Macaca mulatta: one gene and its partners. The protein of the gene in region 1 interacts with the protein of each later gene in a biochemical or structural test. Links are inferred from orthologs where the notes say so. Each region holds a gene or a part of one and is shown on either strand. Other genes may lie near its edges. The genes, in order: IKBKB, NFKBIA, TNFAIP3, NFKBIB, TNFRSF1A, MAP3K1 and MAP3K14.

Region 1 (3,605 bases):
AAGCCTATTTTATGCAAAAGGAAACTGCAGCTGGGGGTAAGTAACTTGCCAAGGGGTCACATAGCTAGAAAGTGGTGAACCCTAGATGTAAGCGCAGCCATTCTGACCCCACAGTCCACATTCCTTTGAGCCAGTCCATTGAGAGTCCTCAGGCAATGTGGAGGGTCCCCAGGTCTCGCTCCTCCTCAGATCTTGCATCTCAGCATGCTCCTACCACATCAGTTGACATTAGCACAGCTTTTCCATTAGGAGAACGAAGTGAAACTCCTGGTAGAACGGATGATGGCTCTGCAGACGGACATCGTGGACTTACAGAGGAGCCCCATGGGCCGGAAGCAGGGGGGAACGTTGGACGACCTGTGAGTACTGACTGGGGGGCCCCTCTGTGCCTAGCACATACAGATAACCCTGGAGCTTCTGTGTGTGTGTCCAGGGCACCCTCAGTGGCTGTGTGGGACCATTCTCTAGAGCATGCTCCCCTGTGGGGTCACCTCCAGCAAATCATCACTGAGCCTCAGTTTCCAAATCTGTTCAGTGGCAAGAAAAGCAGTCTTACCTCACGAAGTTGTAAGGATGAATTCAGGTAACGCATTTGAGACGGAGGCCATAATCTGTAAAGGCTCTAAAATGCAAGCAGCCTCTACCCCTGTATCAGACTCCCCTGATTTGTCCCACCCACCCTGACCCAGGCATAGCTCAGAACAGAAAGTAAGATAGAGAAGTAGAGAAGGAAGAACCTGACAAGGGGGAATTCGGACCTGGAATCCGTTCGTTTGAGTCTTTGTCAGGTATTTGGCATTGACTCCAGGAGGGGAGGAGGGGTCTAGGCAGATCACTCCTACCTGAAGGAGATCACATGTCCTTCTGGCGTGCAGATGGAGGGAACCGGGCAGGCCGGGTCAGCCTCTTGAGGGCTGTGTCACCATGAGCTCAGCAGTGTTCCCTGATTCTCTCACTAGGATTCTTAGGACAGGAGCTCCAAATGTCAGAACTTTGATTCTGTCTTTTCTCTAATCAACCCTTTATTCTCCTCTAGTTCTTTTATTTGTATTTGTATTATTTAAGAGACAGGGTCTTGCCCTGTTGCCCAGGCAGGAGTGCAGTGGCACAATCATAGCTCACTGCAGCCTTGACCTCTCAGGCTCATGCAGTCCTCCCACCTCAGCCTCCCAGGTAACTGGGACTACAGGCGCATGCCACCGTGCTCAGCTAATTTAAAAATATATATATATTTTTGGCTGGGCACAGTGGCTCACACCTGTAATCTCAGCACTTTGGGAGGCCAAGGTAAGAAGATTGCTTGTGAGCCGAGAAGTTCGAGACCAGCCTGGGCAATGTGGTGAAACTCTATCTCTACCAAAAAAATATAAAAATTAGCCATATTTGACCTCAAATCTAGACAGAACTTCTTTGTATATTTTAGAGAGGAGCAAGCAAGGGAGCTGTACAGGAGACTAAGGGAAAAGCCTCGAGGTAAGTGGGGTTCTGTGTCTGCCTTGGGCTTCTCCTTATCTCATTTATGGGGCATCACTACTCTCTGCTGGCTTCCTTGAGGAACTATGCTACCCTCCCCTCTCCAGACCAGCGAACTGAGGGTGACAGTCAGGAAATGGTACGGCTGCTGCTTCAGGCAATTCAGAGCTTCGAGAAGAAAGTGCGAGTGATCTATACACAGCTCAGGTATGAGCCCCGCCCTTCCTACTCTGGAGGAAGGACTGGGAGATGCAGGCTGGGTGTGAGGCCACCTTCCTCCCTCCTCTCTGATTCACTGGACCTCATGAAGAGACTTTCTGCAGCTGCTGACTGGATGCACAGCTGCCATGGGTTCCATTTTCTCCAGCCCAAATGCCATTAGTTTGTCATGTTTATTCTTTGCAGTAAAACTGTGGTTTGCAAGCAGAAGGCGCTGGAACTGTTGCCCAAGGTGGAAGAGGTGGTGAGCTTAATGAATGAGGATGAGAAGACTGTTGTCCGGCTGCAGGAGAAGCGGCAGAAGGAGCTCTGGAATCTCCTGAAGATTGCTTGTGTGAGTGAGTGCTGTGGCCCCAGGCCCTTGGCCCATCAGCCTCCTGTGCCTTTCTGCCTCCGTGTACTGCCGCCATTCCACACGGGACGCCATAGAGCCACCAGCAGTCCACTCGGCTGCTGCTCAGGTTTCACTTCGCTGTTATTTGACTTGGTGTGAGCAGGGAGGTCAGAGGAAGGACCTGTGCTAATCATTTTCATTCATCTGTGTATTACTTTCCTGTGGCTACTATAAAGATTAGCACAAACTGAAGGGCTAAAACAACAGAAATTTGGGCTAGGCACGGTGACTCATGCCTGTAACCCCAGCAATTTGGGGAGGCCAAAGTGGGAGGATTGCTTGAGCCCAGGAGTTCAAGGCTGCAGTGAGCTGTGATTATGCCACTGCCCTCCAACCTGGGCAACAGAGCTGTCTCTACTAAAAACAAAAACAAATGTGTTATCTGAGCTCTAGAGCCCAGAAGTCCCGTGTGAGCAGGGTTGAGCTCCCTCTGAGGGCTCTTGGGGAGGGACCATCCTTGCTTCTTCCAGCTCCCGGTGGCTCCAGGTGTTCTTTGGTGTGTGACTCCAGTCTCTGTTTCTGTCTTCGTGTGACCCCTGTGTCCCTTATCTGTGACTCTTACAAGAACACTTGTCATTGGATTTGGGTCCCACCCAAATAGCCCAGAGTGATGTCATCTCAGGATCTCTAAGGACGTTTTCTCCAAGTACTATCACACTCACATGCTCCAGGAGTTGGGATGTGGGTATATCCTTCTTAGGGCCACCAATTCAGCCCACCATCATGCACAGCAGTGCACCTTGGTTGACCATCATCTGCGTCTGCGCTGCCCTCAGTGCCATAAGCCAGGTTTTCTGTGCACACCATCTTAACGTAGCTGTGAGTCCACGGAATGCCACACGGTGGGGAAATGGGAAATGAAACAGCCAAGAACTAAGACGGGCAGACCTGGCCGTGTCATGGGAGCCAGAGCTGCTGGGAGTGCAAGCCCCATTGTGAAAGGCTGCAGAGAAGGTGACATGAATGGAAGAGTGATTTAGGCATCAGTTGCCTTTAAGAGCAAAGGGAAGGAGACAGGGAGATCATTGCTCATGGTGGAAGCAGGAGGTGGTGCATTAGGAGATTCTCATTGTCAAAGGCAGAGGGGACAATCCACACACAGTGCAGAGAACAGAGGGGCTGGGGTCACGTGCCAGAGCACTGGGCATGCCTTGGGAGTGGGAGTGACACATCCTCCGGTAAGAAGAGAAGAAAGGGAGAAAGCAGGATGACAAGGTAGAGAGGATCTGAAGAGGAGAGGGAGGTGCAGGTGTGCACAGGTGATAGCCTGATGTGCCGTCTATATCCCTTGAGCATTTATTGAGTGCTAACTGTATGCCCAGCAAGACACACAGGTGAGAAGGCATGGCACCTGTTCCAAGGAGGGCCTGATCCTTTGAGGGGCACAGATAGAGGCATGAGTAAGAGCCGTTCAGGGCAGGAAGGGCTAGGAAGCAGCTCCAGGAGGCATGAGCTGCAGTTTCCATGCACAGGGGGAGCTCTAGTTTGTCTTAGAGGAGAGGGAGCAACAAGAAGGTTC
Region 2 (4,194 bases), on another chromosome or scaffold:
CTTTATTTTGCCTGTACCAATTCTACCAAGTAGATGAATTCAGTCCATGGCTTGCAGGCTTGGAGGTGGAGGTGGGATGGAGAGCATAAATTACATTTCTGCAGGTGAAACCAGAGCATAGTGAGCCAAAACCCCTTTCTACCTGGGTGGCATGAATGGGTCCAACTGCTACTATCCCCCAGGACGAGGGAGCAAGGCGGGGGGGGGGCAGGATGGGAGGATGGGGCTGCCTTGAGCCTCCTGCAGGATGACTGGCAACTACTTTCTTAGCGGTCCTTAAGGTCCAATCGCGGTTAAGGCACTAACTAAACTCATTCTTCAGCCTCCTTCTCTAAGTGCTCCTCGAATTGCTCAGTTTAGATGCCCAGAAGTAGGCTCAGGATCCATTCTCTGCGGCAGCACAATGTAGGTCAGATAGCATGAATGCAACAGCTACTTATGAACACAATAGCTACTCTGTTATTGCAAGGTATCCACAACCACCACTACAAAGATTAACACCTTGCTTTACTTGGGGGGAAAAAAAAAAATCATGGTCCTATTCAGCAGTTTCCCCATACAGGGAGAGTTTGCCCCTCCCCCACTCAACAAGGCTGTTCATCCCTAGGAAGTGATTGGAAGTGATTTGAGAGTTTTCCAAAGATTTAGGCTTTCCACTCCTCCAAAGCTTTCACAGTTCTACCTGGCAGAGGTGCGTGGGGGGTAGGGGAGGAAGGGCGCGAAGCTAAACGTCCCCGTTCTGCAATGAGCCTGATATTAGCAGAAACACAAGAGCGGCCTGCAGCCCCATAACCACAGTGCGTCCTTCCCCTTAGAAGTCTGGGGAAAGAAAATCCCTACGCCCAGCCATCATTTCCACTCTTGCGTTTTCAAAAGATCAAAAAACGGAAAGGACCGGCAGGTTGGCAAACCCCAAAGAGGGACCGCCCATCATGTCGGCGTCCTTGGGATCTCAGCAGCCGACGACCCCAATTCAAATCGATCGTGGGAAACCCCAGGGAAAGAAGGTTCACTTGCAGAGAGACAGGATTACAGGGTGCAGGCTGCAGGGAAGTACCGCGGGGAAGGGGGCCTGGTCGGAAGGACTTTCCAGCCACTTGGCACTCATCAAAAAGTTCCCTGTCCGTGACCCCAGTGGCTCATCGCAGGGAGTTTCTCCGACGAACCCCAGCTCAGGGTTTAGGCTTCTTTTTCCCCCTAGCAAAGGACGAAGCCAGTTCTCTTTTCTGGTCTGACTGGCTTGGAAATTCCCCGCGCCTGACCCCGCCCCAGAGAAATCCCCAGCCAGCGTTTATAGGGCGCCGCGGCGGCGCTGCAGAGCCCACACCAGCCCGTGCCGCCGTCCCGCCCGCCAGCGCCCTAGCGAGGAAGCAGCGCGCAGCCCGCGGCCCAGCGCACCCGCAGCAGCGCCCGCAGCTCGCCCGCGCCATGTTCCAGGCGGCCGAGCGCCCCCAGGAGTGGGCCATGGAGGGTCCCCGCGACGGGCTGAAGAAGGAACGACTGCTGGACGACCGCCACGACAGCGGCCTGGACTCCATGAAGGATGAGGAGTACGAGCAGATGGTCAAGGAGCTGCAGGAGATCCGCCTCGAGCCGCAGGAGGTGCCGCGCGGCGCGGAGCCCTGGAAGCAGCAGCTCACCGAGGACGGGGACTCGTAAGTGGCGCAGACCCGGAGCCGGGGGTCCTCGGGAGGGCCGGATGCGCGCGGCCGGGGAGTGGGAGACGCCGGGCCTGGAGCCCGACCTGGGGAACTAGCGATGCAGCCGGGCTGGCGCCGCGGCGCCCCGGGGCTCCTGCACCGCCCCGAACGCTGCAGGGCTGCAGGGCCGCGCGGGGCACCGGCCCGACTCGGAGGGGCGGCGGCTGGGCCCTGGTGGACGGCAGCGTCGCCACACGCCCCCTCCCCCCAGGCCTGTCCTCTAGGCCGGGGGCGGGGCGGCAGCTGGGACGCGAAGTCCCCGGTTGCATAAGGCGTTTCTGGCCGCTGGCGGGCGCCGAGCAGCCGGGAGGGGAAGTACAGGGCGTTCCGAGCTGGCGGGAGGGCGGGGCGGTCTGGCCGGCGCCCGCCGGGGCCGCGGGGGGAGGGGGGCGGAAAGTCCCTGGGCGCCTGCCAGGAACACTCAGCTCATAATAACCTCGCGGAAAACACCGCGGCCTCGGCCTCCAGAAACCCCGGCCTTGCGCAATCCCCCGCAGCCCGCGCCTCCCTGGGCCCCACGCGGTGCACTCACCACCCCTGGGGTTTTTCCCTCTCTTCCCCACAGGTTTCTGCACTTGGCCATCATCCATGAAGAAAAGGCACTGACCATGGAAGTGATCCGCCAGGTGAAGGGAGACCTGGCCTTCCTCAACTTCCAGAACAACCTGCAGCAGGTGCGCCGCTTGCCTGGCCCGGGCTCTCTAACTCTGGGATGGAACTGATGTAGCAAAGTCACCCCAGATCCTTTCTGAATTCAGGGCCACTGGGCATTATTCACCCTCACCTTTTACTTCACGTCAGCCCACATCCTAGAGAGTGAAGGAAATTCCACTGATTTGGTGAGGTCTTTGTGACCCACCTGGAGTCTCTGCTATTTGCCAGTCCTCCCCACCCGCCTGTCCAGGAGGAGCAGCACCCAACCAGGAGACACGGGTTCAGGGGAACTCAGGGTGTGGGTTTGGTCCCTGGCTTACTTTCTCTGGTCTCTCCTGCATTCGTAGACTCCACTCCACTTGGCTGTGATCACCAACCAGCCAGAAATTGCTGAGGCACTTCTGGGAGCTGGCTGTGATCCTGAGCTCCGAGACTTTCGAGGAAATACCCCCCTACACCTTGCCTGTGAGCAGGGCTGCTTGGCCAGCGTGGGAGTCCTGACTCAGTCCTGCACCACCCCGCACCTCCACTCCATCCTGAAGGCTACTAACTACAATGGTATGTCTGCCTCCCTGCCCTGCCCCACCCCCTCAGGTGGCAGGTGATGTGGAGAAGGGGCAGGTGGGCCAACTTAAGGAGTCGAGGCAAGAACTTAAACTGCCAGCATTTGAAAGGTTGAGAAAATACGTGTGCAAAGTGCCTGTTGGATGCCTTTATAAAGTTCCTTCAGAACCCAGACGGTGGGTTCTTAAAATTCAGAAGATATGACTATTTGTCCCATAAAAGAATAGGTGAAAGGAGTGAGGGTTGAAACAGGTGGTTATACTTTTTTCGTTTTGTTCTTCCAGGCCACACGTGTCTGCACTTAGCCTCTATCCATGGCTACCTGGGCATTGTGGAGCTTTTGGTGTCCTTGGGTGCTGATGTCAATGCTCAGGTTAGTGCTTCCTGCCTCCGATGCACTGAGTCAAGTTCCCCGTGCTCATGTTGTGAGCAGAAATTCCAAACGCAGCCATAAGCATCTCAAATTCCTTTTGGTTTCAGGAGCCCTGTAACGGCCGGACTGCCCTTCACCTCGCAGTGGACCTGCAGAATCCTGACCTGGTGTCGCTCCTGTTGAAGTGTGGGGCTGATGTCAACAGAGTTACCTACCAGGGCTATTCTCCCTACCAGCTCACCTGGGGCCGCCCAAGCACCCGGATACAGCAGCAGCTGGGCCAGCTGACACTGGAAAACCTTCAGATGCTGCCGGAGAGTGAGGATGAGGAGAGCTATGACACAGAGTCAGAGTTCACGGAGTTCACGGAGGATGAGGTGAGTCTGTGAACTCCTTGGGCTCTCTAACTAATGAGGGACCATTCCCTTCACCCTCCCGGGCCCCTAGAACTGCTCCTTATCAGAGGGGTATCTACATAATGAGTCTCTCAAATTTCTGTGCATAACCAGTATCCCAATAATGTACCTTTTTTTTTTTTTAAAATAGCTTACCCTTTTTTAAAGAAAAGCATTTTTTAAAACATTTTTAAAATGGGAGTTAAAGGCAAACTCCCTCAGCCTGTAAAGTTCATTGTATTTGGGCTATGGAGAATGGAGTCCAAGGGTTATTTCCAGTAGCGGCCTCCCCATCCCAGTGGCTTGGCAGAGCTTCGGAAGTTTAATGTGTCTTCTTTCCCCTTGTTTTCAGCTGCCCTATGACGACTGTGTGTTTGGAGGCCAGCGTCTGACATTATGAGCGCAAAGGGGCTGAAAGAACATGGACTTGTATATTTGTACAAAAAAAAGTTTTATTTTTCTAAAAAAAGAAAAAAGAAAAAAAATTTAAAGGGTGTACTTATAGCCA
Region 3 (4,139 bases), on another chromosome or scaffold:
TAAGAAACAGACTAACAATAGGCTAGGCATGGTGGCTCACGCCTTTAATCCTGGCACTTTGGGAGGTCTAGGTGGGAGGATCACTTGAGCTCATGAATTTGAGATTAGGCTGGGCAACATAGTGAGACCCAGGTCTCTACGAAAACAAAAAATGAAAAACCACAAAATAATAATAGAACAATAAATTCTATACTTCTAAGAACAGATATTGGAGCTCAATCATTTTAACTCAACTGCCAATGAAATTTTATCATCACCCTCCAGGTACCAACACAGGGGCATGTCTGCCTGGCTTTTCACCCTGAAATCTTTAAGCATAATCAACTAGTAGAAGGAATGAAAGTCTAGAAGCAGACAAGGAAAGAAGTTTCCACCAGGAAGCCACTCTGGCAAATGAAGGAGGAAAGGCGGCAAAGACCAGCATCTACAACCCATGCCAACAGTGCAGGATGATGCAAATTTACATGATGTGGGATCTCTCCAGTATGGAACAGTGTAAAAAGCCAGCTCGGATTCACTAGCCCTTAGTAGGGTGTCTGGTCACAATTCCTAATTTCCAAGAAGATGAAGAAGTTTTCAGAGCACAAAGACATTCCCTAGGAAATTTCGCAGTGATTGTTAATTCCATTCCTGCCGCATCCTATTTGCCAGGGCAACTCTCCAGTTAATAAAAATGTTAAACCTATGGAAGAGGGAGGAGAAGAAATCTAGATTTTAGGGTAGCTACTCCTGCGTGGGTCTAGACTCTCTTAACACCATTAATAAGGTGGTCTAAATTCTTGTGGCCCACTCACAGGGGAGAGGTTGGACTAGATGACCCATGGTTTCTCCTGAGGAGTTTTCTGGTGATAGTTTTAGATTAGGATTCTTAATCTGATTGCTGGGAAAGGCATAGTGGGAGTCATTCTCTGGATCAGATGGTGCTCTCTTTTGATGTCAGACGTCCTCTACAGGTGGAATTGGGCAAAACCATAACAGGACAAAAATAACACATACACCTTTCCTTTGTGGCACAGCAAAAGTCTCTCTCACGATATCATCCATCCATCCATCCATCCACCCACCCACCCACCCATCCACCCAACAAGCACTACCTGACCACTACTGAAGGCCAATCACCATGCTTGATGATGGGATTAAAAGTCAAAGATGACCTTATTCCCTTCCTTGAAATCACACTACCAACTTAGTCTGCAGCTAAGGCAACGGAGTTACAGGTACTGCTCAGATCCCACAGCCATTCAGGGGCGAAGTTTTGCCTAGGAGCCAGGTCTTTCAATACCTGCCCCTTGCAATCCCACAACACCAAACCTGTGGCTACAGTGCCTGCCACAATCAGATGGAAAGAGATGGGCAATAGGAAGATTTTAAACAAATGAGGTGTTATCTCTTTTTGCTTGTCTGACCCTTTTTTCTCTTCTGAATCTAAAGATTTTTCACCAAAGATCTAAAATAGTGAGAGCTGTAAACCATATGCAAGACATGCAAATGTCAATATTGGATACCCCAGTGTGATCTCATTGGTAGGTTTAGCCTTGCACAGCCTGTAAAACTGCCTCCTTAGAAATCAAAACCCACTGTCCAAGTTTCCAGTTCTTGGATCTCTCTACACTTAAGATTAAAGAATAAATGTTTCAGATACATTATAAAGTGGCAAACAATGCAATATTACCCTTAACTTTTTTTTTTTCTTAACATTTGTTACCTCTCTGTCTTATTTAAAGGTAATTTCTCAACTTTTGTCACTAGGATTCTACAGAACTTCTCCATTGCTCAAACTCTTCTCCCCCTTGTTTTATTTTTCCACTCTGGGCAGATATTTTTGTCTGCGTTGTGGAAATTGATGAATTATTTATCAACAAATACCTCATCCAAATTTGGGGATGTGCCTATCAAAAATAGTACTAAGAATTGAAAAAAAAAAAAAAATCAAAGCAGCACCTTAAACAATGAGAATGAAGCATTCATTGGCTGCTCAATAATCCAGTACATTAAGGTTGCGGGTCCAGAAGCCCCTTTAATTAACAATGGTTCCACCAAAATGCTGCCCTGAGACACTTGACCAGACTGGCTTTCCAAGGCAAGAAGATCTGAGGCGAGGAGAACTGAAAACAAAGCGGGTTCAAAAAGAGTTAAGCTCCTTCCTTACTTAATGCCACTGCTTTCCTGAGAGGCCAGGTGGCAGGATGTGGGACGACTCCGGCTGACAAAGACAGTCTAACCGTGGGGTAGGGGCTGGAGCAGGCGCCAGCGACCCATGTCTACATGCATACTTCTCTTACACTGCTGCAGCTGGAAAAGCTAGACCCTGCGCCAGGACCCCAGCCCTGTGCACGGACCCCTGAGCGTCTGGGAAGCTGTCTCTGGGACTGAAGCCCCCCACCTCCGCCGGGCTGGCGGCCACTGCGGTACCCTACTCCCCGTCGGGCTGGCCCTGCACAATTTGGGAAAAAGCCGCAGCGCTTCTGCAAGGTCTACGTGGCCAGGAGCATGCAACGCTTGGCTCCCAAAAAGACACGAAAGGAGCAAAGCATCAACGACCACCCGATCAGAGGGCCCGAGGGGCGCCTCTTCACCAGTCAGCTGCAGCTTAAGTTCCGTGCATTATCCGAAAGGAACAGCTGGCTGGAGGTATCCAGGGCTGTCACTCCAACCTCTGAAGCGGTGACCTCAACTCCCAGCACTTCAAAACCCAGACAGAAACAAACGTCCAACAAACTCCCACTCCAGGAGCGCTGCAAAACCAACGCCAGGTAGACGGAGCCAGCCCGGGGGTCGCTGCCCAACATGCATCCGCAGCCCTAGGCTGCGGTGAGCCCGAGGCAGACGGCACTGGGAGGCGCAGTGGTTACCTCTCCGGGCCCCGCGATCCTTTCGCAAAGTCCCAAGTCCGGGTCAAAGCAGGAGCGCCCAGCAGGCGGAGGTCGGGGCCGGGACCGGGCGGAGGCGACGCTCCATGGACGCCCGGGGTCGGGCTCGCTCGCTGGCAGGGTCGGCCGGGGGTGTGATCTCTCTTGGCGGCCGCTATCGCCGCTCCGCCCCCGCGGGCTCCAAGTTCGCTTGGCCCGCCACGAAGACTGCAGACTGCGCAGTCTGCTTTTCCCCGTTTCAGTTGTATGCGGGTCTAGGCCCGGGGATTTCCACGGTACTTTCCAAAGTCACGTGACTCTCTGGGTAGGGCTGCGAATTGCGTCCCGCCGGCCGCCAGAGGGCGCAGGGGGCGAGGGGCTTTCGCGGCCTCCGCGCCCCGACCCGCCCCCTTTCCCTGCCCCGCCCCGCTGCCTCGCCCCGCCCAGTCCCCGCGGGCCCAGGGAGAAACTCCCTCGCCCCGCCCCGGGGTGTCCCCGCGTGAGTCACCTGGGCATTTCGGAAGCTGGGGTCACGTCACATCCATGTGGAAATCGCGGTGATGGGAACTGGAAATGAAATAGGTTCTTTTTCGCAGTTGTTTTTCTGCAGAAAATCATCAACTGTGGAGAAGAAGAAGGGAAATAAGAAAAAAAGAAAACCCTAAAAACCACCCTGGCGTCCGGGCCCGCAGGCCTCGGGCTGGCTCTGAAAAGTTTGGGCTGTGCACGTGATAAGCGCGTAGGCGGGAGCCCCAGACAGGACCCGGGCGGGAATTTCGAGAAAAAGCAGCAGTGACAGCCTTTGGTCCCCATCTCCATTGTTCCTGCCAGCTCTGGACCCCAGGCTGCATGAGACGTAGGTCCCAGGGAACACCCGACCCCGTGGCCCCAATCTTAGGTAAACTTAGGAATCAGAACAACATTCACCCCTATGCCACCCTTGCTCCATTTCCCCTTCTCTATTTCTGCTCACCAAGCATCCAGCTGACATTGCATTCAAGCAGCATTTCAGCTTAGAAATCGCTTCTAGTCCATCACCGTGCTTGCCATGTGTCTCCAAGGCTTTATTAGGTGTGTTTTTAGTTGTCCTGATTATCAGTTCACCCCAGGGTGCTGATGGCTGATAATACTGGCGCTCCCTTCCCCACCCCCATGCGTTGCATAGGGAGAGTGAGTCATGTGGAGATGGGTGCAGTCCCTTGGGCAGTGGGGGTGCAGGTCCTGTGCAGGGAGGAGGCTTAGGGTGCTTTTACTGTCTTACTGCCCTCTAAGCACGGGACCCTTTGGATC
Region 4 (4,339 bases), on another chromosome or scaffold:
TGGGGAGAATGATTAAGTGGGGAATAAAGGGATTCAAATGGTCAGTGAGGGGCCAGAACACCCACCAACCGAGTTACACTGGGATGGGATGGTGGTAAAAATGGAGCACGGGGAGGGAGGGGGCGGAGAAAAAATCTTATCAGCATGCAAAGTGATGCCAGGAGAGGTGATTAGTGAGGGGCAGAGAGGCTGGAGAGGAAGATTTAGAAGGAGAGGGAGAAAGTAGGGGCTTTTGCCCAGGCTGATCTTGAACTCCTGGGCTCAAGCGATCCAACCACCTTGGCCTCTCAAAGTACTGGGGTTACAAGCATGAGCCATTGTGTCTGGCCCTGACTTACTTTCTTTCTTTTTTACTTTTTAGAGAAAGGGTCTCGCTCATGTCACCCAGGCTGGAGTGCAATGGTGCGATCATAGCTCACTGCAGCCTCAAACTCCTGGGCTCAAGCGATCCTCCTCCTCCTACCTAAGGGATTCAGGGCATGAAGGAACACTCAGGAGGAGTTAGGAAGGACACGACAGTGTGTCAGTGTGTGTGCGGGAAGGGTTAGATTTACAAGGCAGAGGGAAGTTTAGAAAGGAAGAGAGAAGGGAAGGGACGCTTTGGCTGGGAGGCAGGTTTAGGAGGGAGGTGCAGTGGTGCAGTGGAGGCGGTAGGTTTAGGAGAGGCGCGGAACAAGGGGAAGCCATAGAAGGGGACAGCAGGGGTCCCTCAGCATCCTCTGGTTGCCTCTAACAATCAGGTACCCTTAGCAGCCGGGACCGGGGCAACTTATGTTCTTTGCAGCGAGGGTCCTTAGCAACCAAGGTGTGAGAAACACGCGATCATTGGCAACTTGGCAAGTGGATGTGGTAAACGAACCCTGAACACCCTGCGACCCAGAAACCCACCAGCCTGGCGATATAGATCGCTTAGCAACAACCCTCAGAACCCCACTCCCCGAGGCGCTCCCTACTTCCCGCCCCACTGCGGCCGCCCTTGGGCCCCGGGGCCTGCAGCCTTCAATCAGGCCCCGGCGCGGCCCGACCCTCCCACCCGGATTCCCGACTCACGGTCCGGCTCTGCCATGGGCGCGGTGCTGAAGCCCTCGAGGCTGTCACCGACCGCTCTGTCCCGTCACCGACCACTGTGTCCCGTCACCGACGGCTCTGTCCTGTCACCGACTGCTCTGTCCCGTGACGGCACCAGAAATGGGAGTGGCCGGGATAGGGCACTGAACTACAACTCCCAGCAGACATTGCGGCCGCAGACGCGCTTTCCTACGACACCCGGAGCGCCCCAGTTAGGTAAGAAAGCGCGCGAGGACCGGACTACGAGTCCCAGAAGTCATGGCGTCAGCAGCCATGTTGGTAAAGGGCGCCCGGAAAATGTGGGAACGGCTAGAGAGTCGTAGTCCTCTCGAATACTCTGATTGGTCAGCATGCGGCACGGGGGCGGGGTGTGAGCGATTCAGCATATTATCATTGGATGAATCAGGGGGCGTGGTGGGGAATTTCCCGCAGGGCGGAAGCGCCAGAACTCCCGGCAAAGCCCAGCTACAGGCGGGCCACTGCGAGGGGCCCCTGAGGTGGCGGGGGCCATGGCTGGGGTCGCGTGCTTGGGAAAAGCTGCCGACGCAGATGAATGGTGCGACAGCGGCCTCGGCTCCCTGGGTCCGGACGCAGCGGCCCCCGGAGGACCGGGATTGGGCGCGGAGCTGGGCCCGGGGCTGTCGTGGGCTCCCCTCGTCTTCGGCTACGTCACTGAGGATGGGGACACGTGAGTGAACTTTAGGCTGCCAAACGGAGCCTTAGGACCCGGCATCTGATTCCCCATTAGTGTCTGATCCCTGAGGCTTCCTAACCTCACACTCCTAAATCTGACTTCCGATGCTGAACTTCCTGACCTCTAACCCCCGAGTCCTAACTTTTAACAAAACCAATCTTCTTTCCAGCTATGATCCTCACCCAATCATTTCTGACCTTTTCCTGAACTATGATTCTCAGCTCCTGGAATCCACGTTGTATCCACTGATACCCAAACCTGACTCCAGTCCTGAGACTTTTGTTAGAACTGTGGCTTCTCCTGACTTCTAACCTCCAAATATGATCTTTGATTCTTAGTTCCTGATTTGAGCCTTAAAGTTTGATTTCCAAAATTAATGCTTGGTCCCTTACTCTAAGATCCTGTCATCTGAGCAGTGTTCTTCAAATCTTAAATTCAAAGAGAGAGAATGTAAGCTCTTCTATGTTGAATTCCTAATTAAAGTAAAAAAAAAAAAAAAAGGAAAATAGAAAAAAAGAATGTAAGCTCCACGAGACCAAGGATCCATCTGTTAAACAAATATTCTTTACACAGTACAACATTCCAGGCTCCGTTTTAGGTGCTAGTGATAAAGGCAGTGGAGAAAACAGACAAAAACTTAAGCGCTTGTGGAGCATACATTTTAGTGGAACTAAATAAACAGATAAGACCGCAAGGAAGGAAAGAAACAGAAAGACAGGAAGAAACAAAGAAAGACACGCAGAAAGAAAGAAACATAGAAAGTAAGAGAAGGAAATAAAGTCAGAGGTAGTAAGTACTTTGGAGAAAAATAAAGCAGGAAAATGAGGCAATAGATAAACAGGATAAGAGCATTTCAGGGAGAAGGAACTGCAGTTGCAAAGCCCAGATGAGGGACTGTACTGGGTTTTTTGTCTGTTGTGTTTTCTGCTGTATGCCCAGTGATGCAAGCAGTGCCTGACCCAGGAGGCACTGAAGAAATATTTATCTTTTCAAAGAACCAGCTTTATAATCTTGTTAATTTTCATTACATTTCATTACTTAATTTTGGTTTCTTTTTTTTTTTTTTTTTTTTTTACTTTTTATATAATTAGTCTCTGTCCTGGCTTTTTTTTTGAGACAGAGTCTCGCTCTGTCGCCCAGGCTGGAGTGCAGTGGCCGGATCTCAGCTCACTGCAAGCTCCGCCTGCCGGGTTTAAGCCATTCTCCTGCCTCAGCCTCCCGAGTAGCTGGGACTACAGGTGCCCGCCACCTCGCCTGGCTAGTTTTTTTTTTTTTTAGTAGAGACAGGGTTTCACTGTGTTAGCCAGGATGGTTTCGATCTCCTGACCTCGTGATCCGCCATCTCGGCCTCCCAAAGTGCTGGGATTACAGGCTTGAGCCACCGCGCCCGGCCGGTTTTTTTGTTTTGTTTTGTTTTGTTTTTTGAAATGGAGTTTCACTCTGTCGCCCAGGCTGGAGTGCAGTGGCACCATGTTGACTCACTGCAACCTCCATCTCCTGGGTTCAAGCAATTCTCCTGCCTCAACCTCCCCAGTAGCTGGGATTACAGGTGCCCACCACCATGCCTGGCTAATTTTTGTGTTTTTAGTAGAGATGGGGTTTCACCATGTTGGCCAGGCTGGTCTCAAACTCCTGACCCCGTGATCTGCCTGCCTCAGCCTCCCAAAGTGCTGGGATTGCAGGCATGAGCCACCATGCCAGGCTGTTCTGACTTTTATTATGTTCATTCTTCTGCTTACTTTGGCTTTAATTTGTTCTTCTTTTTGTAGTTTCTTAAGGTGAAAGTTGAGATCATTGATTTGAGACCTTTCTTTTTTCCTCTTTTCCAGTATAGGTATTGAGTGCTATAAATTTGCTCCTGACTATTGTTTAGCAATATTGTTTTAGCAATATCTCTCAAATTCTGGTATGTTGTGTTTTTATTTTCATTTAATTCAGTATGCTTTATTATTTTTTTGAGTTGGAGTCCACTCTGTTCCCCAGGCTGGAGTGCAGTGGCACAGTTTCCGTTCACTGCAACCTTGTCCTCCTGGGTTCAAGTGATTCTCTTGCCTCAGCCTCCCGAGTAGTTGGGATTACAGGGGGGTGCCACCACCCCCGGATAAGTTTTGTAATTTTTTTGGTAGAGACAGGGTTTCACCATGTTGGCCAGGCTGGTCTCAAACTCCTTACCTCAAATGATCTGCCCACCTTGGCCTCCCAAAGTGCTGGGATTACAGGCATGAGCCACCACACCCGGCCTAATTCAGTATTTTTTTTCTTTTTCTTTTTTTTTTGAGACTGGAGTCTTGCTCTGTCACCAAAGCTGTAGTACAGTGGAATGATCTCAGCTTGCTGCAACCTCTGCCTCCCAGGTTCAAGCAATTCTCATGTTTCAGCCTTCCGCGTAGCAGGGATTACAGGCATGCACCACCACATCCGGCTAATTTTTGTGCTTTTAGCAGAGATGGGATTTCACCATGTTGGCCAGGCTGGTCTGGAACTCCTGACTTAAAGTGATCCACCCACCTCGGCCTCCCAACGTGGTGGGATTACAGGTGTGAGCCACCACACCCGGCCTAAAAATATTTGTATTTC
Region 5 (3,605 bases), on another chromosome or scaffold:
AGAACAGGACAAGCCGTTTAGCTGCCGTGAGGTTGGCCTGAGACTGCAAAGCGTACCTTCCAGAATACCGTGGCGTGCAGGGGCTCCAGGACTCCCCAGCATGCCCTCAGCTCCCACCTGACAGTCATCCAAGCTGAGTCACTAGCCTTGGCCAGCTCTATTTGAGTGTCCTGCACACCTTTGCCCACTCCTCCCCCCATCTCAACTTTATCCCCCGTCTACCCATGTGGGATCCCCAACCTTTCCCTTTTACTCTCCTCCCCATTTGTCATTGCTAACCCCGGGTGTTTGTGTAAATTTTGAGGTGGAGGGGATGGGCCAGGGAATGTGAGGGCAGGAGGCGGAGTAAGGTTTGATACAAGCATGTAAAGAAACTTCCTTCTGCTTCTGCCCGCTCCCCAGGAGTGGAGCTCACAGGAACATCACTCGCCCCCACCACCAGCTGACCTTTTTAGAAATACTCCCGGGATGTGCACAGATCCTCACTGTTTACCTCTGTGAATGTTCACAAAGCAATCACACGGTGAACCCAGCACCCAGAGGAAGAAACACCGCCCCAATCTTTAGGGCTGCTTGTTGGAAGAAAGGGCCATCACTGAAGTAACCTGCCAATTCCCAATCAAAAACACATCCTTTCAACATCTGCCCTGTGTCCAGCACTGTTGGCTGCTGTGGGGGATTTCACAGTAAGGATAAAATACGGGGCTGGACTCACGCCTGTAATCCTAGCACTTTGGGAAGTCAAGGTGGGAGGATCACTTGAGCTCAGGATTTTGAGACCAGCCTGAGCAACATAACAAGACCCTGACTCTACTAAAAATAAAAAAAAATTAGCTGGGCATGGTGGTGCACGCCTGTAGTCCCAGCTATTCAGGAGGCTAAGGTGGGAGGACTGCTTGAGTGTGGATGGTGGAGGCTGTGGTGATTTTATCACTGCTCTCCAACCTGGACAACAGAGCAAGATCCTGTCTCAAAAAAAAAAAAAAAATACAGCTTAGGTCTGGGGCCTACTAGCTTTGAGTTGAGGGAACAAAAATGAACACACAGGACAACTAGAGAACAATAAGCATCAGATTGTATGATCCCAACTGTCTAAGATTCAAGGAAGAACTCTAACGTTGGTGAGTGGGTTGGCCTGGGCAGCATGTTTCACAAGGAAGGACTTGAGCTGGGGAAGTTTTATTTATTTATTTTTATTTTTATTTTTTATTATTTATTTATTTATTTATTTATTTATTGAGACGGAGTCTTGCTCTGTCGCCTGGGCTGGAGTGCAGTGGCTGGATCTCAGCTCACTGCAACCTCCGCCTCCCAGGTTTACGCCATTCTCCTGCCTCAGCCTCCCGTGTATCTGGGACTACAGGCGCCTGCCACCTCGCCCAGCTAGTTTTTTGTATTTTTTAGTAGAGACGGGGTTTCACCGAGTTAGCCAGGATGGTCTCGATCTCCTGACCTCGTGATCCGCCCGACTTGGCCTCGCAAAGTGCTGGGATTACAGGCTTGAGCCACCGCGCCCGGCCAGAGCTGGGGAAGTTTTAGATCTGCTGCCCCTAAGCTTCCCATCCCTCCCTCTCCTGATGGTGTCTATCCTCTATCTGATTCTTCCCCAGGTGCTCCTGGAGCTGTTGGTGGGAATATACCCCTCAGGGGTTATTGGACTGGTCCCTCCCCTCAGGGACAGGGAGAAGAGAGATAGTGTGTGTCCCCAAGGAAAATACATCCACCCTCAAAATAATTCCGTTTGCTGTACCAAGTGCCACAAAGGTAGGGGCAAGTGGAAACGGTGAATGCCCTCAGGTCTGGGGTGCTGCTTCTTCCTCTGCTTCTTCCAGATGTTCTTCCCTAACTTTGCTGCCTCTCCTGGACTGGGATTTTCTCCCTCCCTCCTCTCCTAGAGACTTCAGGGAATTGGCTCTGGCTGTTGTCCCTAGCATGGGGCTCCTTCCTTGAACTCTCACCTGCAGCCTAACTGCTGCTCCATTCACAGGAACCTACTTGTACAATGACTGTCCAGGCCCGGGGCAGGATACGGACTGCAGGGAGTGTGAGAGCGGCTCCTTCACCGCTTCAGAGAACCACCTCAGGCACTGCCTCAGCTGCTCCAAATGCCGAAAGGGTGAGTGTGCGCAGGCTGGAGAGTCAGGCGGGTCTTGACCGGTGTGTGCATGCCTGTCTGTGTGCAGGCTGGTTGGTGTGGGCAGGAAGGTGTGTGTGTTGGGACACTGCATGGATGTGAGTGTGTGTTACAGAGACAGACACACACTTAGGGGAATATCAGGAAGGAGATGCAGGGACAGGAGGATGCAGGACTCATACCCCATCTTCTCCCCTCACCAGAAATGGGCCAGGTGGAGATCTCTTCTTGCACCGTGGACCGGGACACCGTGTGTGGCTGCAGGAAGAACCAGTACCGGTATTATTGGAGTGAAAACCTTTTCCAGTGCTTCAATTGCAGCCTCTGCCTCAATGGGACCGTGCACCTCTCCTGTGAGTGCAGCTCTCCTGACGCCAAGCCCTCTCCCCACCCCAGGGACTGGCCCTTCCCCATGTAGCGGCATTTCCTTTCCTTCCCCTCCCATAGTCTGTGGGTCTGACGACCAACTCCTCTCTGGCCGCCCCCACCCTTTCCCTCGTCACTTCCTCTGTCCTGTGGGGTGAGGGTGCAGGGTGCTCCTTCTTTAGCTGTGCTGCACTTCTCCCTACAGGCCAGGAGAAACAGAATACCGTGTGCACCTGCCATGCAGGGTTCTTTCTAAGAGAAAACGAGTGTGTCTCCTGTAGTAAGTGAGTATCTCTGAGAGCTGCTGGGCACTGGATGGTGGCATGGATTGGGATGGGTGACTTTGATGGGAGCCACTAGTGGGACAACGGATGCCAGGATGCCCCAGAGTGCTCAGGCTCCTACTGGCTGAGTGGGAGACACTTTGTTAAGACACCAGGCAGTCCTTCCCCTTGCTCTTCAAATCTTTTTTTTTTTTTTTTTTTTGGAGACGGAGTCTCGTTCTGTCGCCCAAGCTGGAGTGCAGTGGTGCGATCTTGACTCACTGCAAGCTCTGCCTCCCAGGTTCATGCCATTCTCCTGGCTCAGCCTCCGGAGTAGCTGGGACTACAGGCGCCCGCCACCACGCCCAGCTAATTTTTTGTATTTTTTAGTAGAGACGGGGTTTCACAGTGTTAGCCATGATGGTCTCAATCTCCTGACCTCGTGATCCGCCCGTCTCGGCCTCCCAAAGTGCTGGGATTACAGGCTTGAAACACTGCACCCGGCCTCGCTCTTCAAATCTTAAGGAGTCTTTGAGGATAGAAGATCATGCCCCAAGGACTTGTAGCCCTTCCAACTCAGATATGTAGATTCTTGGGCCATAGGATCTACGATAGTTCATTGATTCTAGGACATATACTCTGACAGCTCTGAAATCAAACTTCCTGTAATTGATGATTCATCAAGGTTTAATTGGCAGCTTTGTGCGTGTCTGAGTAGTCAGGTAAAGAAAAGTGCCTTTTATTCTTGATTGCATCTTAGGTTTGATGAAATATGGTATTTCCCTCTTAGTCTCTGTGTCCAGGCCTCCTCACTCCTGGCTCCACAGTGGCTGTTCTTGTCA
Region 6 (3,605 bases), on another chromosome or scaffold:
GAGAAAACATTGTATATCTGTAAAATATGCAAATTTTAAAATTTGCAAAATGCATAGGAAAAGTGTCATTTTTTAGTATTAGAATAGGTATATTTCCGAGACTTCAGTGTTCTCATGGTATTTGTTGTGCTGCTCGCTTTTTGAAACTTTAAAGTTAGGTTGTTTACCTGGTCACCTGAATGACTGAACGTAAGAAATACTGTAGAGAGATTTTATAATATTCAGACCTCATTCTGCCTATGTAAGGAAATGGAGGGTTTTTGGATGGGAAGGTTTTGTTTTTAATTCAAGAGCTTCTTAGTAAAAGTTCAGAAATCAAAATGTCAAGGTCTTTGTTACTTCTTTTAACAAAATGTAAGACTTTTATCTAATTTGGTATTTAAATCAATACTAAGAGCCATTGTTGAAGATTCTGTGCTTAACGTAGAGGATATGTTAAATTTACAAAATTAGACCTAATAAATGAGTATTACTATTTATGGTGACATTGTTCATGTGATTTTAGTGGTGGAAAAGTAAACACTCCTGAAAACATCATTTCTCCACTTTTTCACAAGGCCTTGCATTATGCCTCTAATATTGTATAGTATTTTAGCCAAGATCCAGGATTGATGTTGCTTTTCCTTTGCTTTTTAGCCGCACAAGTCAGCTGTCCATATCAACACTGTTGGAACTGTGCAAAGGCCAAGCAGGAGAGTTGGCAGTTGGCAGAGAAATACTTAAAGCTGGTAATAACTTTTCACTTAAAATGAATATAGCATGTTTTATCATGTTCCTCAGCAGCCTTGTCTAATCTCATAATCTCTCATGAGGCAGTTTACAGGATTTTGAAGTAATTTTATAAATTGATTAGATTAGAAATGTGAATTAATCTGAGAGAGAAATTCTTGAAAATAGTTCAGAATATTTTTGTTGGCCTTATACCATTTAATCATGTCTTGTTTTAGATTTTAATATCACTATTTTTTAATCACTTATTTTTACTTTCCTTTTTGTAGGATCCATTGGTATTGGTGGTGTTGATTATGTCTTAAATTGTATTCTTGGAAACCAAACTGAATCAAACAATTGGCAAGAACTTCTTGGCCGCCTTTGTCTTATAGATAGACTGTTGTTGGAATTTCCTGCTGAATTTTACCCTCATATTGTCAGTACTGATGTTTCACAAGCTGAGCCTGTTGAAATCAGGTGATTTTTCTTCTGAAAATATATAACATGTATCTTTCTGCCCTCCCTACACCCTCCTCAAGAATGACACATTTTAGATTTATGAAAGACTCAGAAAATACAGAGCATAAATAGGTTGCTGATACCTTAATATTTGATTGACATATGAAAACCCAAAGTCTAGGATGTTTAATTTAAAATTTATAGATACTTTATGCTGAAATGGTTTTTGAAGTATACATGCTGTAAATTACTACCATTTTTTAAGTTTCCATGTGTTTTTCGGTAATTGGAACTTATTATTGTAATGAATGTTTTTTCTTTCAGGTATAAGAAGCTGCTGTCCCTCTTAACCTTTGCTTTGCAGTCCATTGATAATTCCCACTCAATGGTTGGCAAACTTTCCAGAAGGATCTACTTGAGTTCTGCAAGAATGGTTACTACAGTGCCCCATGTGTTTTCAAAACTGTTAGAAATGCTGAGTGTTTCCAGTTCCACTCACTTCACCAGGATGCGTCGCCGTTTGATGGCTATTGCAGATGAGGTGGAAATTGCTGAAGCCATCCAGTTGGGCGTAGAAGACACTTTGGATGGTCAACAGGACAGCTTTTTGCAGGCATCTGTTCCCAGTGACTATCCGGAAACCACAGAGAAGAGTTCCCCTGAGTGCACAATCCATTTAGAGAAAACTGGAAAAGGATTATGTGCTACAAAATTGAGTGCCAGTTCAGAGGACATTTCTGAGAGACTGGCCAGCATTTCAGTAGGACCTTCTAGTTCAACAACAACAGAGCAACCAAAGCCAATGGTTCAAACAAAAGGCAGGCCCCATAGTCAGTGTTTGAACTCCTCTCCTTTATCTCATCATTCCCAATTAATGTTTCCAGCCTTGTCAAGCCCTTCTTCTTCGGCCCCATCTGTACCAGCTGGCACTGCAACAGATGTCTCTAAGCATAGACTTCAGGGATTCGTTCCCTGCAAAATACCTTCTGCATCTCCTCAAACACAGCGCAAGTTTTCTCTACAATTCCACAGAAACTGTCCTGAAAACAGAGACTCAGATAAACTTTCCCCAGTCTTTACTCAGTCAAGACCGTTGCCCTCCAGTAATATACACAGGCCAAAGCCATCTCGACCTACCCCAGGTAATACAAGTAAACAGGGAGATCCCTCAAAAAATAGCATGACACTTGATCTGAACAGTAGTTCCAAATGTGATGACAACTTTGGCTGTAGCAGCAGTAGTAGTAATGCTGTTATACCCAGTGATGAGACGGTGTTCACCCCAGTAGAGGAGAAATGCAGATTAGATGTCAATACAGAGCTCAACTCCAGTATTGAGGACCTTCTTGAAGCATCTATGCCTTCAAGTGATACAACAGTCACTTTCAAGTCAGAAGTTGCTGTCCTCTCTCCTGAAAAGGCTGAAAATGATGATACCTACAAAGATGATGTGAATCATAATCAAAAGTGCAAAGAAAAGATGGAAGCTGAAGAAGAAGAAGCTTTAGCAATTGCCATGGCAATGTCAGCGTCTCAGGATGCCCTCCCCATAGTTCCTCAGCTGCAGGTTGAAAATGGAGAAGATATCATCATTATTCAACAGGATGTAAGTATAGATTCTTTAAGAGGTTAGAAAACTTCCTTGGGGCTAGGCAGTGACTCATACCTGTAATTCCAGCACTTTGGGAGGCTGAGGCCGAAGGATTGCTTGAGCACAGGAGTTCGAAACCAGCCTGGTCAACAAAGCAAGACCCTGTCTCTACAAAAAATTAGCCAGGCGTGATAGTGCACACCTGGGGTCCCAGCTACTCAGGAGGCTGTGGTGGGGAGGGTCACTTGAACCTGGAAGTTTGAGGCTGCAGTGAGCTGTGATTACACCATTGCACTCTAGCCTGAATAACAGAGCAAGACACTGTCTCACAGAGAGCTTCCTTGGACCATACGAAAATAAACCTAATTCAGAAATGCTGCTTCTAACATTTAGAAGCAGATTTTTCCACATAAAATTATTACTTATACAACAATAATGTTTGTACTGTTTAAACAGCAATAATTCTTGTCTGTGGGCATTTCTGGTTAATTCTATAATGGTGATCACTTTTGCATTTGATGTTAGTCACAAATACCTTCCATTCAGAGGTCACATTTATAGGTGGTTTGGGAAGCCAGACTGAACAAGAATAATATCTTGCCGACTAATTTCACAAAATCTTACTCCTTTAACAGTAAAAAGATTGCTTTCATTTAATATGTAGACACCAGAGACTCTACCGGGACATACCAAAGCAAAACAACCGTATAGAGAAGATACTGAATGGCTGAAAGGTCAACAGATAGGCCTTGGAGCATTTTCTTCTTGTTATCAGGCTCAAGATGTGGGAACTGGAACTTTAATGGCTGTTAAACAGGTAAATATCTAGTGAGCATATAAATGA
Region 7 (3,605 bases), on another chromosome or scaffold:
GCAATAGCTCACTCATAGCTCACTGCAGCCTCAAGCTCCTTGGCTCGAGTGATCCTGCCGCCTCAGCTTCCTGAGTATGAGTAGCTGGGACCACAGGCATGCACCACCATGTCTGGCTCATTTTTTTAATTTTTTGTAGCTATACATGGGGTCTCAGTATGTTGCCCGGGCTGGTCTCAAATTCCTGGATTTAAGCTGTCCTCCCACCTCAGTCTCCCAAAGTGCTGGGATTACAGGCATGAGCCACTGCCTGACCCTTTTTTCTAATATCTTTTGAAGAAAGTAGAGCTAAGCAAAAATTACAAATACAGATCACCAGGAAAAAAAACCACTGTTCACATCTGCCATCTATTCTTTCAGTCTTTTATGCAAATAAGTTTTCTATTATGATTTTTAAATTTCACTTACTGGTATTTCAGGAACATCATACCAGTAATTAACCTTCTACAACCTAATTTGTAATATCCAGCCCCTGCCCTATTTTCAAAAAACACTTTAAGGGTTTGGTCCAAAGGGCAGAGTCCATATCATGGGTGCTCTGTTGCTTGGTACAAGTTCCCAGCAGAGTCCCCGCCTAGCTCCTCCCTACAAGTTTGACTTGGAGATGTTATTTCTGTATTTAAAGTACTTTAACATGGCCGGATACAGTGGCTCATGCCTGTAATCTCAGCACTTTGGGAGGCCGAAGTGGGTGGCTCACCTGAGATCAGGAGTTTGAAACCAGCCTAGCCAGCATGGTGAAACCCCATCTCTACTAAAAATATAAAAATTAGCTGGGCGTGGTGGCTCATGCCTGTAATTCCAGCTACTCAGGAGGCTGAGGCAGGAGAATCGCTTGAACCCAGGAAGCGGAGGTTGCAGTGAGCCAAGATCGCACCACCGTACTCCAGCCTGGGTTGACAGAGCGAGACTCTGTCTCAAAGAACGAAAAAGATAATAAAATAAAACGTACTTTAACAGTGACAAATTTAAGATACCCCGAGGATTAACTGGGGTGACCATTGCCTAGGCTCCTGCCCATCAGCATTCCAGGTGACTTTATGTCTTATCCGCCTTCTCAGGGGACTACATCCCTGGCACAGAGACCCACATGGCTCCGGAGGTGGTGTTGGGCAGGCGCTGCGACGCCAAGGTGGATGTCTGGAGCAGCTGCTGCATGATGCTGCACATGCTCAACGGCTGCCACCCCTGGACTCAGTTCTTCCGAGGGCCGCTCTGCCTCAAGGTCGGTGACGGCACCCGGCATGGCCAACATGGGGAGCTGCAGGGCCCTGGGGCCCGGGCCGCAGGCTTGAGGGGCTGCTCTGCGGTGGCAGTTGGAGCAAGGGGAGGCCTGGTCATCCATGTGGGATCCTAATTCAAATACTTGCCACCCAAATCTGGGGGTACAAAGGGAGATCCAGCTGCGGAGGCTCACCAAGTTCATGGCAGGTGAGAACTCTCTTCTGTCCATACCCTGGGCCCCATCCACCTGCCTCCTAACGGGCCGGGCCTGGAAGCTCTGGGCATCTTGCTGCCTGGCTCTGGCCTGTTTTACGGGCTCCATGTGTCCCTGTCCTGGGAAAAGTGCCCTCACTGTAGCCCAGACCCCTCCATTCCTTGTGATAGACCCCAGCACAGTGGCAGCAGGGGCCGGCGGGAGTTGCACAGAGAGCAGTAACAGCCGGGTATCAGGAAATGAGGGAAGGCAGGCCTCACCTGTTGTCTTTTGTGCCCCAGATTGCCAGCGAGCCTCCGCCTGTGAGGGAGATCCCAGCCTCCTGTGCCCCTCTCACAGCCCAGGCCATCCAAGAGGGGCTGAAGAAAGAGCCCGTCCACCGCGCGTCTGCAGCGGAGCTGGCAGGGAAGGTGAACCAGGCACTACAGCAAGGTAAGAGGAGCTGCGCGCTGGCTGACCCGGGGGGCAGAGGACAGAGGTGGACAGAGGAGACAGGTGGCCACAGGTCCAGAGCAAGGTACCCCTCAGAGCCTTAGTTTCCCCCTCTGGAGTAGGGGGTGCAGCAGCCTCGGGGTTGTTGGGAGATTGTGGCAGTACCACGCCTTGACGCAGAGGCAGCGCTCAGGAGATGGGAAAGAGAAAATTCACATACAAACTCGAAGTGCTTTTTCCATTCTCCCACTCAACTACAATCAACCCGAAGACTCCTGTGACCACATGTGTGGGGATTTCCACCCCACCAAGCCAGCAATCAGTTCGCAGCAGACACGAGCTGGGTGTCCTCTAATTCAGTTCTGTTCTAACACTATCTACCTGGAGGCAGCGTCAGAGCCCGCAACAGGAAGGCTTGATCCCCAAGACTGTGCCCCCTACCCATGCCAGTCTCAGGCCCATGTGTTTACCTGTGCTTCTGACCAACTGGCTATAAGTCAGGGACCCCACGACCCCCTCCTTGGGATCGATTAATTTGCTGGAGTGGCTCACAGAACTCAGAGAAACCTTACATTTACCAGTTTATTAGAAAGGATATTACAAAGGATACAAATGAGATGCATAGGGCAAGGCATGTGGGAGGGAGCGCGGAGCTTCTAGGGCTTGGCACCCTCCAGGAACCTCCACGTGCCCAGCTACCAGAAGCTCTCTGAACCCTGTCGTCTTGGGTTTTTGTGGAGGCTTCATTACAAAGTCATGACTGATGAAACCATTGGCCATTGGCGAACAGCTTAACCTTTAGCCCCCTTCCCTCCCAGTATGTGGGATGGTAGGATGAAAGTCCCAGCCCTCTAATCCTGCCTGTGTCTCTCGGATGACCAGCCTCCATCCTGAAGCTACCTAGGGGCTGCCAGCCTTCAGTCAATCCATTAGTACATAGAAAGAGATCACTTTGGAGAGGAAGGCTTTTAGGAGTTATGTGCCAGAAATGGGGTTAAAGATGAAATATATGTTTACTAATATCACAAGGGTTATGATGTGTAAAGGGGGCTGAAACTCGCTAGGAATCCAAGAATACAAAATAAAGAGAGGCCGGGAGCAGTGGCACACACCTGTAATCCCAGCACTTTGGGAGGCTGGGGCAGGAGGATCACTTGAGGCCAGGAGTTCAAGATCAGCCTGAGCAACATAGCAAGACCCTTTCTCTGCAAAAAAAATTTAAAAATTAACCAGACATGGTGGCATGTGCCTGTAGTCCCAGCTACTCAGGAGGTGGGAGGATTGTTTGAGCCTGGGAGGTCGAGGCTACAGTGAGCCACGATTGTACCACTGCACTCCAGCCTGGGCAGCAGAGACCCTGACTCAAAAAATAAATAAATGAAGCCAGGTAACACTCGAGAGCCATTTGACTGGAAAAAAGCAGAAAGTTGGTGGGATGTGGGACTGTTGGGACCCCTCGGGTGCTGCTGATGGGCATGTGGACAAGGCTGCCCACTCTGGAGAGCGCCTGGCTGCACTCAGGCAGATGTCTGCAGACTGAGACCCAGGACCGCTACCCCTGGGTGCACTGACAAAGGAATGCCAACAGATCCATATGGGAACACGCCTGAGGATGCGCGCTACAGCTTCCTTTGTGGGAGGGGAGTAGGGTACAGTGGGGTCCCTCATTGGGAGGACAGAGACACAAAAAAGGATGCCGCATGGAGCACCAAGCAGTTAAAGCAACTCGGTGTTC

The links.
Region 2: of the proteins of IKBKB (region 1) and NFKBIA, one has a biochemical effect on the other in vitro, tested with the Homo sapiens proteins (58 studies listed by BioGRID and IntAct, with this or other methods). The link is inferred for Macaca mulatta from reciprocal best matches to the Homo sapiens genes IKBKB and NFKBIA.
Region 3: of the proteins of IKBKB (region 1) and TNFAIP3, one has a biochemical effect on the other in vitro, tested with the Homo sapiens proteins (2 studies listed by BioGRID and IntAct). The link is inferred for Macaca mulatta from reciprocal best matches to the Homo sapiens genes IKBKB and TNFAIP3.
Region 4: of the proteins of IKBKB (region 1) and NFKBIB, one has a biochemical effect on the other in vitro, tested with the Homo sapiens proteins (2 studies listed by BioGRID). The link is inferred for Macaca mulatta from reciprocal best matches to the Homo sapiens genes IKBKB and NFKBIB.
Region 5: of the proteins of IKBKB (region 1) and TNFRSF1A, one has a biochemical effect on the other in vitro, tested with the Homo sapiens proteins (2 studies listed by BioGRID, with this or other methods). The link is inferred for Macaca mulatta from reciprocal best matches to the Homo sapiens genes IKBKB and TNFRSF1A.
Region 6: of the proteins of IKBKB (region 1) and MAP3K1, one has a biochemical effect on the other in vitro, tested with the Homo sapiens proteins (3 studies listed by BioGRID and IntAct). The link is inferred for Macaca mulatta from reciprocal best matches to the Homo sapiens genes IKBKB and MAP3K1.
Region 7: of the proteins of IKBKB (region 1) and MAP3K14, one has a biochemical effect on the other in vitro, tested with the Homo sapiens proteins (3 studies listed by BioGRID and IntAct, with this or other methods). The link is inferred for Macaca mulatta from reciprocal best matches to the Homo sapiens genes IKBKB and MAP3K14.

The regions. Positions count from the first base shown.
Region 1 is NC_133413.1:44,402,855-44,406,459, forward strand, and holds part of IKBKB (inhibitor of nuclear factor kappa-B kinase subunit beta), read left to right. Parts: intron 1-249; coding exon 250-359; intron 360-1,423; coding exon 1,424-1,473; intron 1,474-1,580; coding exon 1,581-1,680; intron 1,681-1,878; coding exon 1,879-2,026; intron 2,027-3,605.
Region 2 is NC_133412.1:108,520,533-108,524,726, reverse strand, and holds the start of NFKBIA (NF-kappa-B inhibitor alpha), read left to right. Parts: upstream 1-1,338; 5' UTR 1,339-1,428; coding exon 1,429-1,655; intron 1,656-2,265; coding exon 2,266-2,374; intron 2,375-2,701; coding exon 2,702-2,912; intron 2,913-3,202; coding exon 3,203-3,291; intron 3,292-3,398; coding exon 3,399-3,668; intron 3,669-4,038; coding exon 4,039-4,086; 3' UTR 4,087-4,194. UniProt on the Homo sapiens protein: Inhibits the activity of dimeric NF-kappa-B/REL complexes by trapping REL (RELA/p65 and NFKB1/p50) dimers in the cytoplasm by masking their nuclear localization signals.
Region 3 is NC_133409.1:42,960,037-42,964,175, reverse strand, and holds the start of TNFAIP3 (tumor necrosis factor alpha-induced protein 3), read right to left. Parts: upstream 2,906-4,139; 5' UTR 2,853-2,905; exon of another isoform or gene 1,993-2,852; coding exon of another isoform or gene 1,942-1,992; intron 1,021-1,941; exon of another isoform or gene 795-1,020; intron 10-794; exon of another isoform or gene 1-9. UniProt on the Homo sapiens protein: Ubiquitin-editing enzyme that contains both ubiquitin ligase and deubiquitinase activities.
Region 4 is NC_133424.1:49,994,163-49,998,501, forward strand, and holds the start of NFKBIB (NF-kappa-B inhibitor beta), read left to right. Parts: upstream 1-1,528; 5' UTR 1,529-1,577; coding exon 1,578-1,756; intron 1,757-4,339. Other genes in the region: SIRT2 (NAD-dependent protein deacetylase sirtuin-2), read right to left, coding at 1,051-1,066. UniProt on the Homo sapiens protein: Inhibits NF-kappa-B by complexing with and trapping it in the cytoplasm.
Region 5 is NC_133416.1:7,267,291-7,270,895, reverse strand, and holds part of TNFRSF1A (tumor necrosis factor receptor superfamily member 1A), read left to right. Parts: intron 1-402; exon of another isoform or gene 403-686; intron 687-1,594; coding exon of another isoform or gene 1,595-1,610; coding exon 1,611-1,764; exon of another isoform or gene 1,765-1,787; coding exon of another isoform or gene 1,788-1,804; intron 1,805-1,964; coding exon of another isoform or gene 1,965-1,987; coding exon 1,988-2,116; intron 2,117-2,337; coding exon 2,338-2,548; intron 2,549-2,666; coding exon of another isoform or gene 2,667-2,682; coding exon 2,683-2,784; intron 2,785-3,605.
Region 6 is NC_133411.1:64,696,990-64,700,594, forward strand, and holds part of MAP3K1 (mitogen-activated protein kinase kinase kinase 1), read left to right. Parts: intron 1-636; coding exon 637-728; intron 729-998; coding exon 999-1,188; intron 1,189-1,494; coding exon 1,495-2,776; intron 2,777-3,396; exon of another isoform or gene 3,397-3,425; coding exon 3,426-3,578; intron 3,579-3,605. UniProt on the Homo sapiens protein: Component of a protein kinase signal transduction cascade. Activates the ERK and JNK kinase pathways by phosphorylation of MAP2K1 and MAP2K4. May phosphorylate the MAPK8/JNK1 kinase.
Region 7 is NC_133421.1:69,643,161-69,646,765, reverse strand, and holds part of MAP3K14 (mitogen-activated protein kinase kinase kinase 14), read left to right. Parts: intron 1-1,061; coding exon 1,062-1,225; intron 1,226-1,719; coding exon 1,720-1,870; intron 1,871-2,441; exon of another isoform or gene 2,442-3,605.